Anolis sagrei: one gene and its partners. The main gene of each other region encodes a partner of the protein of the gene in region 2 in a complex. Links are inferred from orthologs where the notes say so. Each region holds a gene or a part of one and is shown on either strand. Other genes may lie near its edges.

Region 1 (3,754 bases), on a different chromosome or scaffold from region 2:
AAGAGAGATTCACTGCATATGTATACATATATGTGTATGTGTGTTTGTGTGTGTATGTGCATGTGTATATATGTGTGTGTGTGTGTTGGCTCTCTGTATCCATGGATTCTCCATGCTTGGATTCAACAGCCCTTTGAAGGCAACCATAATGTAAAATAATAAAAATAAAGGTGAAATCCTGAATGCAGCCATCATTGTTTCAAAGAGAGATGCCAGTGATGTAACTCTGCCTTACGTCACTTCTCGGCCATTCTCTTTTAGGAGAAGTGTCAAGTCCCAGGCCTTTGAGTGAATGGATCCCAACCTATTGTGCTCCACCGACCTGTGTGGATCCCCCATTTGCAGAAAAGGCTGCTGCGAGGGAATCCGCTGGCTCCCACGATCTGACCGATGACATGGACCTCCGCCATGGACCTGTGATACAGAAAAAGAGACATTTTTAGAAGGAGATGCCAAATCATTAAACCAGTGGTTCTCAACTTGTGGGTCTCCAGGTGTTTTGGCCTTCAACTTCCCAAAATTCTGCCAACCTAGTAGTTTGAAAACATGCAAATGTGAGTACATCAATAGGTATTGCTCCAGCGAGAAGGTAAGGGCACTCCATTCAGTCATGCCGGCCACATAACCTTGGAGGTGTCTATGGACAACACCGGCTCTTCGGCTTAGAAATGGAGATGAGCCCCATCCCCAGAGTTGGACACGACTGGACTTCATGTCAGGGGAAAACCTTCACCTATTACTACACTATGTAACAACATTTGAAAAGAAATTCTGTTCCTAGTTTGAAAGTATTATTTCCTGTTTAGTTGTGTGGTACTTACTTTGAAAGTAGTTGTTTTACTAAACAATATCTCAGAGTACTTGTCAGGTATCAGCACAAACACAAAACAATCTATGTGTAATGTCAAAGAGTACTATCAAAAGAGCATATAGTATTCCATTTACCAAAATCCTCAGTACATAGCTCAATTCAGTGGCACACAGCAAAATCAAAAGGAGCAGCCGCTCTCAAATGTAACAGTTCTAGGTCTGGATAAGGATTACACTGTATATAGGCTTCAGGGATACATTCAATAAGAAAAATCATATAAACAAAGTAAGCATTGAGTCATGAGGCTATATGTAGACTGAAGACAATAATGAAGATGGAGCACCACTCTCAAAACAATCTTCATGGACTTGATTTGGATTTTTTCCATGTGATTCCTTCCTCGGTCGCTTAAGCTTAAGGAAAGAGTCTGAGGCTCTTAGGAATTGTGGGAGTTGAAGTCCAAAACTTCTGGATGTCCAAAGCTTGCCTATGCCTGTTTTAGAAACTGCACTTCTACATTTAACCTATCTATCTATCTATCTATCTATCTATCTATCTATCTATATAATAAAAGTCAGTGTTTGTATGCGGAGGAAAGACGGGAGGGAGGTGTATGCGGCAGCGTTCTGATTGGCTGCCACTGTGGGTACAATTTGCATATGCTCTCTGATTGGCCAGCCTCAAAACTCCAAGATTCTGAGGTGACAGAAGAGAGGAAAAGGCCTGAAGCTGTGTCACAAAATTACCAATACAAACCAAACTTGGCACACAGAGCCCCCATGACCCACACTCCATCCTGGAGCAGTTTGGAGGAGGATGGACCACAGATGATGGGACTCGCAGTACCTTCATTAACTTCCTGAGGCCACTGCGAGCCATATAAATAACTTATAAAGACCAACCTTGATACACAGTCAGGTCCCCTAGTCGGGTCCCCAAGCTAGTTATAACTAAAACTAAGGACTTATACAGCTTGTAAACACAAAATACGGCTTGTAAACATAAAAATAAAACACAATGTCCTCCAACAAGCAAAAATTTGGCAGTTTAGTACACTTTCCCCGTATTTTTATGATAAAAACCCATTGTTGCTGTTGTTCATTCGTTCAGTCGTCTCCGACTCTTCGTGACCTCATGGACCAGTCCACGCCAGAGCTCCCTGTCGGCCGTCACCACCCCCAGCTCCTTCAAGGTCAGTCCAGTCACTTCAAGGATGCCATCCATCTATCTTGCCCTTGGTCGGCCCCTCTTCCTTTAAAACCCATTAGGAAATGACATTTATAAGCTAGGAACAAAAGTCATGTTGGGCAACCACTTGTCCACACTACACAATTAATTCAGTTTGGTACCCCTTTAACTGCCATGACTTAATGTGATGCAAACCTGGGAGATGCAGTCTGGCAAATCACCAGAGGAATCTAAAACTCCAACTCCCAAGATTCCCTAGCAACCAGCCCTGGTAGTTCAAGTGGTCTCAATCCGCATTAATTCCACAGTGTAGATGCCCCCAAGGAATTCCAAACCTTTGGGACTACAACTCCCAGCATTCCTGAGCAGCATACAAGGTTGGCGAGGCTGCTGGGAGTTGAAGTAAATCAAACCCCAAAATAGCAAAGTACTACTATCATTTTATGTCTTTTTAAATGCTATTATCCATTATTTTATTATATAGATATTGTTTTTTTGGGAAAAAAATAAGAATGTGGTGCCCATGTAACGTTTGCACGCTTCTGCGTTCACACGTGCGCACGACACGGGTCTCCCCGGCTCCCTCTGCGCACGCGCACTGGGCATACCCCGCTCTCTTTCTTACCTGAGAATCTCAGCAGCTCCGCCGCCTCAGAATCCATCCATCGCTTCTAGGCCCCGTTGCCTTGGCAACTCGAAAGCCACGCCCACAATGCTTTTGAATATGATTGGTAGAAAGAGACGTCCCACTCGGGACCAAAAGGCGTTAGGGAACGAAACGGCCGCCATCTTGAGTGAGGAAGAAAATGGGACGCCATTTTGGAGCCACGCTAAAAAATATCGGTGACATGACTAGTCGGACATGTTGAGTGTGGCATGAGGAAGAAGCAATGAAAATGCCCAGCTACGGCGTGTGTTGTCCGCCATCTTGGGTGCTCTTCATAGAGGGCTTCCACGGAGGCCATTTTGGAAAGGGCATTTTCCTTCTCTGTTGCTAGGCAACGAAACCTCTGCCTGAATTGCCCTGAGTTCAAATCCTTGCTCCTCATTATTATTCCTCCTGCTTTTATCCACACATTTAAAACAATACAAGGTTAAATAAAGGTAGAAATGCTAGATTTTTAGAAAACTATATGAAAACATGTCTCCTCCTCCTCCTCATTATTATTATTCATTTAAAACAATATACACTTAAAGGAAAAGAAAAACAGAAAAAATAATGCAAACATTAAAAAATACCACAATGCACTAAATAAAACAATATAGAAACTCTTCATCTTCTTTCTAGCTATAAACATAATAACTGAAAAATCCACCACAGGCGTCCCAGTGTTTCTGACTCTCTCCATTGGTGTGGAATTTGCATAATCCCACCCACTGCCTCACTCTTAACCCTTTCCTATTCTTTTCTATGGCACACAGCAAACAAAGCATTATTAATCAGCAACTGAATATATTGGAGAGGTTTGGGGGAGAATTCACCGTGATTTATAGGAGTTTTGGGGAGAATTCACCGTGAACTATACATCCCATTTGTAGGTACTGGGATGTATAGTTCGCCTGCAGTCTAAGAGCTCCACTAACAATGGACCTGGAACTAACTTGACGCACAGAACCCCCCATAACTATCAAAAAATACTGGCGGTCTTTGGAGAGATTAATAGGAGTTGTAGTTCACCTACATCCAGGACACACTATGAATGCAAACAATGATGGATCTGGACCCAACTTGGGATCCATACCCAATAGGAACAC
Region 2 (3,754 bases):
TCTCTCACACCAGAAGCGACTTGCAGTTTCTCAAGTCACCCCTTACATGACCAAAAAAAAAAGTTTGATTTTGAGTCTTGACAGCGTTTTTCCTGTTGTTTTTCCTCAATGTGACTGTCACCTGGTATGGCAACATCAATAATCCAGACTTTTTTCTTTTCCACAATTGTGATGTCTTGAGTGTTATGTTCCAAAACTTTGTCAGTCTGGATTCGAAAGTCCTACAGTATTTTTGCATGTTCATTTTCCATGACCTAAGAAACTTATTATTATTATTATTATTATTATTAGAAACCAATTAATTGGACTGACCCTAGGGACTGACACAGGAACAGCAGAACAGTAGAGTTTCCTAAATTTAGGGTGCATTTGTTTATTTATATCCATCCCGCTTTATCTCTCCATATAAAGATAAAGCTGACATTAATTAAGTCTAGTTGTGTTCAACTCTGAGGGTTGGTGCTCATCTCCATTTTTAAGCCGAAGTGCTGGCGTTGTCCGTAGCCGCCTCCTAGGTCATGTGGCCAGCATGACTGCCTGGAACACTGTTATTTTCCTGCAGAAGCAGTACCTATTGATCTACTCACATTTGCATGTTTTCGAACTGCTAGGTTGACAGAAGCTGGGCCTAACAGCAGGAGCTCACCCCACTCCCCAGATTCAAACCGCTAATCTTTTGGTCAGCAAGTTCAGCAGCTCAGTGGTTTAACCCGCTGCACCACCAGGGGGCTTTGATCAGAGGTTCAAATCAAAAACATTACAACTTCAAATATATCAAAATAAAACAGTATATTATATATTATTAGTAAAGGTAAAGGTAGTCCCCTGACATTAAGTCCAGTCATGTCTGACTCTGGGGTGTGGTGCTCATCTCCATTTCTAAGCCAGTGTTGTCCGTAGACACCTCCAAGGTCATGTGGCGGCATGACTGCATGGAACGCAGTCATATATATATATATATAGATAGATAATATTATATTATTATATAATATAATTTTATATATATATATATATATATATTAGTAGTAGTAGTAATTATATTTAATATATTAGTATTACTATATTAGAGTATTATATATTATTATATTGTATTATTAGTAGCATTATATTGTATGACATCTATTGCATCTACACTGTATAGAATTAATGCGGTTTGAGACCCCTTGAATTGTCATCGCTGGAGGCAATGGAAGCCTGGGATTTGGAGTTTGGTGAGTAACCAACCCTGCTTGAGAGGGAAAGGCTAGAGATCTCCCCGGCTTCCACAGCGCGCTTAAAAGTCCTGCCAAACCCATTCATTCTGCATCTCGAAGGCGGAGGGAGAGGAAATCCTCCTGTAGTCTTATCCCGTTGAGGCTGAGTGAGCGCCAGGGCGCATGCTCGCCCTGTCCTGCTATCACGTGCCCTCCCCGCCGTCGCCTAGCAGCCGCTCGTCCCGCCCCCTTCCTCTTCGAGGTCCCCGGCGCGCGCTCAGCGGTAGGTAGGCGATGACTTGATTGGCATGTTCTGAGGGAGGGGAGGGGGGATGAGGGCGAGGCGAGGGGGCTTTGCCGTTCCCCTCCTAAAAGGTGCCCGTTATTCCCTTTCTTCCCTCAGAAGAAAAGTCTCAGTTGGAGGGCCTTCTCGCGTCCCTATGGCGAGCTTTTGTTTCCCACCCTTCCCATTTGGAGTTTAACCCAAAATGACTGTGTGTTGGGGAGGGGGGAGGGGTGAATCCGTAATTGAGAAAAACCAACAACCATAAAGCCTCCTGTGAAGGCAGCGAAAGCCTCAAATCTCAGGCTTTCTCTTTGGGGCCTCATCCCAGCCTGGATACAGTCAACACTTGCCAAGTGGAGTGAATTCGCTCTATGTTCAAAATACTTCAGCAGGGGGTGCTAGAGCCCTTTGGAAAGAGCATTAGGAAGAGGCCAAGGGTGTGCTTTAGTTTTTATGTTTTTCCTCTCTGGGATGAATTAAACCCATGGAGAGGTAGTGAGGTATGAGCTGCCTTGCCTCAGTCCCACAGAATGCTGGGGTTTGTAGTGTGTGTAGCTCTCTGACAGAAGGATGAAGGTGAAGCAACAAAGCCCAGGGCTCTAGAGCAGTAACCAACCCTCTTTGAAACTTGGGCAAACTTGGGCCCTCCAGAGGTTTTGGACTCCAACTCCCACAATTCCTAACAACCTCAGGCCCCTTCCTTCCCCCATCCTCAAAACATCTGAGGGGGTGGCAAACTCTGGAGGGCCCAAGTTTATCCATAACATTGAGCCAAATGATGTCAAACAGATACGTGGGTTCAATGAAAAGTAATGCCTCCCCCTTCGTAACTTCTCAACAGTACTGCTCTCAACCCCATCACTATTGCAAACACGGTTAATGGGGATGAGAGACAGGGCCTTCTCAGCAGTGCCCCCCCCCAGAGGGAATGCCCTCCCTAGAGATATCAGATTGGCCACTTCCCTCTCGTCTTTTAGAAAGAAAATCAAGACCTGGTTATGGGACCAAGCATTTGATCAGTGAGCAGCAAGTGGAAGAAGATCACATAACTTATGGCAATGAATTGACGCGGACTTGTTTTTGAATTTTGATTTTAATGGATGTGTCTTAATTAATTGTTTTAATTTTTAAAAATTTGATTGTACTGTGGTTGTTTTTATGATGCTAGCATCGGATGATGCTTTTGTTAGGCCGCCCTGAGTCCCCCTTCGGGGGGAGAAGGGCGGGGTATAAATATAGGAAATAAATAAATATGCGGCAGGTGCTGGCTTGTTCAGTAGACTCTCCTCTACAGTCCCATTTTGACAGGAAGCCTTAGCATTGAATGCTTGTGTTGTTATAATGTGAAGTATGGAACCCTGTGCAGACGATCGGCCAGTGCGACTTAAGCAACGTGCAGTCATTGAATTCTTGACAGCAGAAGGTGTCACCCTAAAGGAGATTCATCAGAGAATGCGAGCTGTTTATGGTGATTGTGTTGATGTGAGTACTGTAAGTCGTTGGATGAGAAAGTTTAAAGATGCTGTGGTGGGAACATCTGACTTGCATGACAGACAAAGAGTTGGACGTCCTGTGATAGCAACCACCGAGCTTCACAAGCAAAAGGTTGACAGATTGATTCAGGATGATCGTCGTATCACTCAGAGAGAAATTTCAAGCATAATCGGCATTTCACAAGAACGTGTGGGTCACATTATTGCTTTGCTTGGCTATCGGAAGATCTGTGCATGATGGGTATCCACGATGTAGACTTGAAAATTCAGAGACTGGATCTCACCACCATACAACATCCTCCATACAGTCCAGATTTAGCACCGTCAGATTTCCATCTGTTCCTGATAATGAAAGAAGATCTGCGGGGGCATCAATTTGCTTCTGATAAAGACATAGAGAGAATTGTGAGATGTGGGTTGCGGATACAGAGTGTCGACTTCTTCCGTGATGGCTTCAGAAAACTTGTTCATCATTGGCAGAAATGTATCCAATTGTCTGGTGATTATGTGGCAAAATGAATAGCAGTAGTTAAAGAGCACATTCTAAGGATTATTTCTGCGTTTGATTTATGAAAATATTCCCATCCAAACCCAAGTTATGAAGGTGGAGGCATTACTTTTCATTCAACCCTCGTACAATTCTTGCAGTGTGGCTACATTAACAACATTATATCCCACGTTTTCTCTCTAAAAGGAGACAAAGTGGCTTGCATAGCATAGGCATCACCCACTGTTTTGTTATCAATCTCTGCCTTGTGTGTGGTGTATTTGAATTTCAAACA
Region 3 (3,754 bases), on a different chromosome or scaffold from region 2:
GGGTATTATAGTCTACCATGGTCTTTTTAGCTTTGACTGCCAAAGAGTGCTAACTGCATTAATTAATTGTTTTTTCCCTAAATTTAGAATTATCCAATTATTAGCAATTATCCAAGAGTGCATCTGCACTGCAGACTTAATGCAGTTTGACACCACTTTAGATGCCATGGGACTTGTAGTTTTAAAAAGTCCTTCCTGCTAAAATGGGCTGGTGCCCTACCAAAACTACAAATCCCAGGATTCCAGAGCGTTTGTGAAATGGCACTTAAAGGTATTTATTATTAGTTTAAAACCATTATTTTAAAGTATTTATTTACTTACTATTATTTACTAAAAGTCCTTCCTGCTAAAATGGGCTGGTGCCCTACCAAAACTACAAGTCCCAGGATTCCAGAGCGTTTGTGAAATGGCACTTAATAGTATTTATTATTAGTTTAAAACCATTATTTCAAAGTATTTATTTATGTACTATTATTTACTAAAAGTCCTTCCTGCTAAAATGGGCTGGTGCCCTACCAAAACTACAAATCCCAGGATTCCAGAGCGTTTGTGAAATGGCACTTAAAGGTATTTATTATTAGTTTAAAACCATTGTTTCAAAGTATTTATTTATTTACTATTATTAAAGTCAAACTGCATTAATCCTCCTCCTGAGAAATAGTAATCAGTAATCTCAGCAACTGGAAAAGAGCCTTTTCCTTTGAGAGGAACGAAATGGCAAGCAAGAGGTTAAGAGGATGGGCATTTACCCACAGTCAATATGGTCGACTAGGCTTCGTCACGCTTGGTAAAATCTCGCGATATTCTAGGAAGCGGGCAAAACAGAACAGAACAAGCCTCCCAAGCGGTTGCTATGGGCAACGGCGCGGCCTAGAGTTGAGGCCTTAAAATCGAGCCCTGGGGAAAAATTGAATGTTCCCGCCAAAACAATAGGTGAGTAAAGTGGGGAGGATATGGGGCTCTATTAATTAATTGGTTCATTAATTAATATGATGAATTCCATTAGGAATTGTAGTTGAAATAAAGGACAGGCCTCTTAGGCCTTGAATGGTTATACAGAAGAGGGAATTTAAGCAGATTGTACTGTTTGTACAGCATAGTGTCTAGATCCAGGGAAGTCATGCTCCCCATGCTCTATTCCGCCTTGGTTAGACCACACCTGGAATATTGTGTCCAATTCTGGGCACTACAATTGAAGAGAGATGTTGACAAGCTCGAATGTGTCCAGAGGAGAGCGACTAAAGTGATAAAAGGTCTGGAGAACAAGCCCTATGAGGAGCGGCTTAAGGAGCTGGGCATGTTTAGCCTGAAGAAGAGAAGGCTGAGAGGAGACATGATAGCCATTTATAAATATGTGAGAGGAAGCCACAGGGAGGAGGGAGCAAGCTTGTTTTCTGCTTCCTTGGAGACTAGGACACGAAACAATGGCTTCAAACTACAAGAGAGGAGATTCCATCTGAACATGAGGAAGAACTTCCTGACTGTGAGAGCCGTTCAGCAGTGGAACTCTCTGCCCCGGAGTGTGGTGGAGGCTCCTTATTTGGAAGCTTTTAAACAGAGGCTGGATGGCCATCTGTCAGGGGTGATTTGAATGCAATATTCCTGCTTCTTGGCAGAATGGGGTTGAACTGGATGGCCCATGAGGTCTCTTCCAACTCTTTGATTCTATGTTTAATTGGCAGGTTTTAAATGTGTCAAGTGTCTTCAGGTGCAAGGCTTTGTTTTGTTTTTGAGGGAGCGAGTTATTATAATGATAATAACAATAACAACTATTATTATTATTACAACAATAATAATATTTATTTACTTCATTTATATACCGCTTTTCTCAGCCCTTGGGCGACTCAAAGCGGTTAACAATAGCAAAATTCAATGCTCAACATCATAAAAACAGTTAAAAAACAATTAAAACAATGACATAATAAACAATCAATTAAACATAGCTATAACATCTCGTTAGCGTCTCATAAGTAGAATCGAGATCCAATCTCATCATCCGTTGTTCCATATTCCTATATTCATTACACTGCCTATTTAAATGCCTGCTCCAATAACCAGGTCTTCACTTTCCTCCAAAATGCCAATAGGGAGGGGGCCAATCTAATTTCTGTAGGAAGAGCGTTCCACAGCCAAGGGGCCACCACTGAGAAGGCCCTGTCTCTTGTCCCCACCAGACGTACTTGTGATGCAGGTGGAACCGAGAACAGGGCCTCCCCAGATGATCTTAACGTCCTAGCTGGTTCATAGAAGGAGATGCATTAGGACAGGTAAGTTGGGCCAGAACCGTTTAGGGCTTTATAAGCTAATGCCAGCACTTTGAATTGTGCCTGGTAGCAAACTGGCAGTCAGTGGAGCTGGCGCAGCAGATGAGTTGTATGCTCCCTGAGCACCGCTCCTGTCAGTATCCTGGCTGTCGAACGTTGGACCATTTGAAGCTTCCGAACAGTCTTCAAAGGCAACCCCACGTAGAAAGTGTTGCAGTAGTCTATACAGAATGTAACCAGAGCGTGGGCTACCGTGGCCAAGTCAGACTTCCCAAGGTACAGGCGCAGCTGGCGCACAAGTTTTAACTTACAAGGATGTTTTAAGTTTTACAAATAAACTTTATTTATACCCCGCCACCATCTCCCCAAAGGGACTCGGGGTGGCTAACATGAGGCCAAGCCCAAGGATTACAGTACAGCAAAGTAAAATACAATAGCAAATAATAATAACAAAGTAAAATATATTATAATTATATATTTTATATTACATGTAATATTGCTACTAATATTATAATATAATAGTATAGTACAATATAGTAATATATAATACTTATATTGTACTATGCTAATAATATAATATATTGTATGTATATATATCTTGTAAGCCTCTCTGAGTCCCCTTTGGGGTGAGAAGGGCGGCATATAAATGTCGTAAATAAATAAATAAATAAATAAAATACAAACAAATACACAATAAACAAACACAAAATAAAATAGTGGAAGAATAAAAACAGAGTGGGCAGGCGAAATGCACAGGATAAAATTGATAAAACCCTGGGTGAGATTAGGTAAATGGAATATTGTGTATCTGGGGGAGAACTCAGAAGGGCGAACAATGTGGTTGACCTTCACTAAGGGATGAGAGAAAGTGCATCATGAGGACAGATCTGTACTGGGACGGACATGGTGTGGGGATGATGATGATGATAATAATAATAATAATCTTCATTTGTAGCCCGCTACCATCGCCCCAAGGGACTCGATGCGGCTTACATGAGGCCAAGCCCAAAGTACATCAAACAAAATATCAAAGCACAACATCAATAAGCAATCAATCAATCAAATACAAATAATATAAATCGCATAAACAAAAAACAGTCAATAGTGACATAAACAATTTTAAAAATGGCCGGGCCAAATGTAATAGATTAAAATTGAAAATATGTTGATGTGGACAAGGTAAAATATAACTAGGATAGGATTATCATGTCCACTTAAAAGTTTGTGCCAAGTCCACACCAATCACACAAAATTATTATTATTAGCACCTATCATCCCATGCTAACACTTTGTAGTGATTTGTTTGTTTTTTTCTTGTCCTTTCTGTTGACAGGATTGCATTGCCCTTTGGATGCTTGGAGAGAATGCCTTTGGTCAGCGGAGTGGTACCCGCACGGTTCCTGACCATCACGGCCCACTTGGTCATCGTGATCACCATCTTTTGGTCAAGGGTGAGAGACCCATCCCCATCCTTGGGCTGCCATTCCAGC

The links.
Region 1: AHI1 (region 2) and B9D2 share a complex: the UniProt entries of both Homo sapiens proteins name them as parts of the tectonic-like complex. The link is inferred for Anolis sagrei from reciprocal best matches to the Homo sapiens genes AHI1 and B9D2.
Region 3: AHI1 (region 2) and TMEM107 share a complex: the UniProt entries of both Homo sapiens proteins name them as parts of the tectonic-like complex. The link is inferred for Anolis sagrei from reciprocal best matches to the Homo sapiens genes AHI1 and TMEM107.

What each region holds. Positions count from the first base shown.
Region 1 is NC_090034.1:98,816,840-98,820,593, forward strand, and holds the start of B9D2 (B9 domain-containing protein 2), read right to left. Parts: upstream 2,715-3,754; 5' UTR 2,625-2,714; intron 415-2,624; 5' UTR 411-414; coding exon 323-410; intron 1-322. UniProt on the Homo sapiens protein: Component of the tectonic-like complex, a complex localized at the transition zone of primary cilia and acting as a barrier that prevents diffusion of transmembrane proteins between the cilia and plasma membranes.
Region 2 is NC_090021.1:80,416,600-80,420,353, forward strand, and holds the start of AHI1 (jouberin), read left to right. Parts: upstream 1-1,399; 5' UTR 1,400-1,476; exon of another isoform or gene 1,477-1,480; intron 1,481-3,754. UniProt on the Homo sapiens protein: Involved in vesicle trafficking and required for ciliogenesis, formation of primary non-motile cilium, and recruitment of RAB8A to the basal body of primary cilium.
Region 3 is NC_090026.1:7,271,261-7,275,014, forward strand, and holds the start of TMEM107 (transmembrane protein 107), read left to right. Parts: upstream 1-797; 5' UTR 798-933; intron 934-3,597; 5' UTR 3,598-3,628; coding exon 3,629-3,715; intron 3,716-3,754. UniProt on the Homo sapiens protein: Plays a role in cilia formation and embryonic patterning. Requires for normal Sonic hedgehog (Shh) signaling in the neural tube and acts in combination with GLI2 and GLI3 to pattern ventral and intermediate neuronal cell types.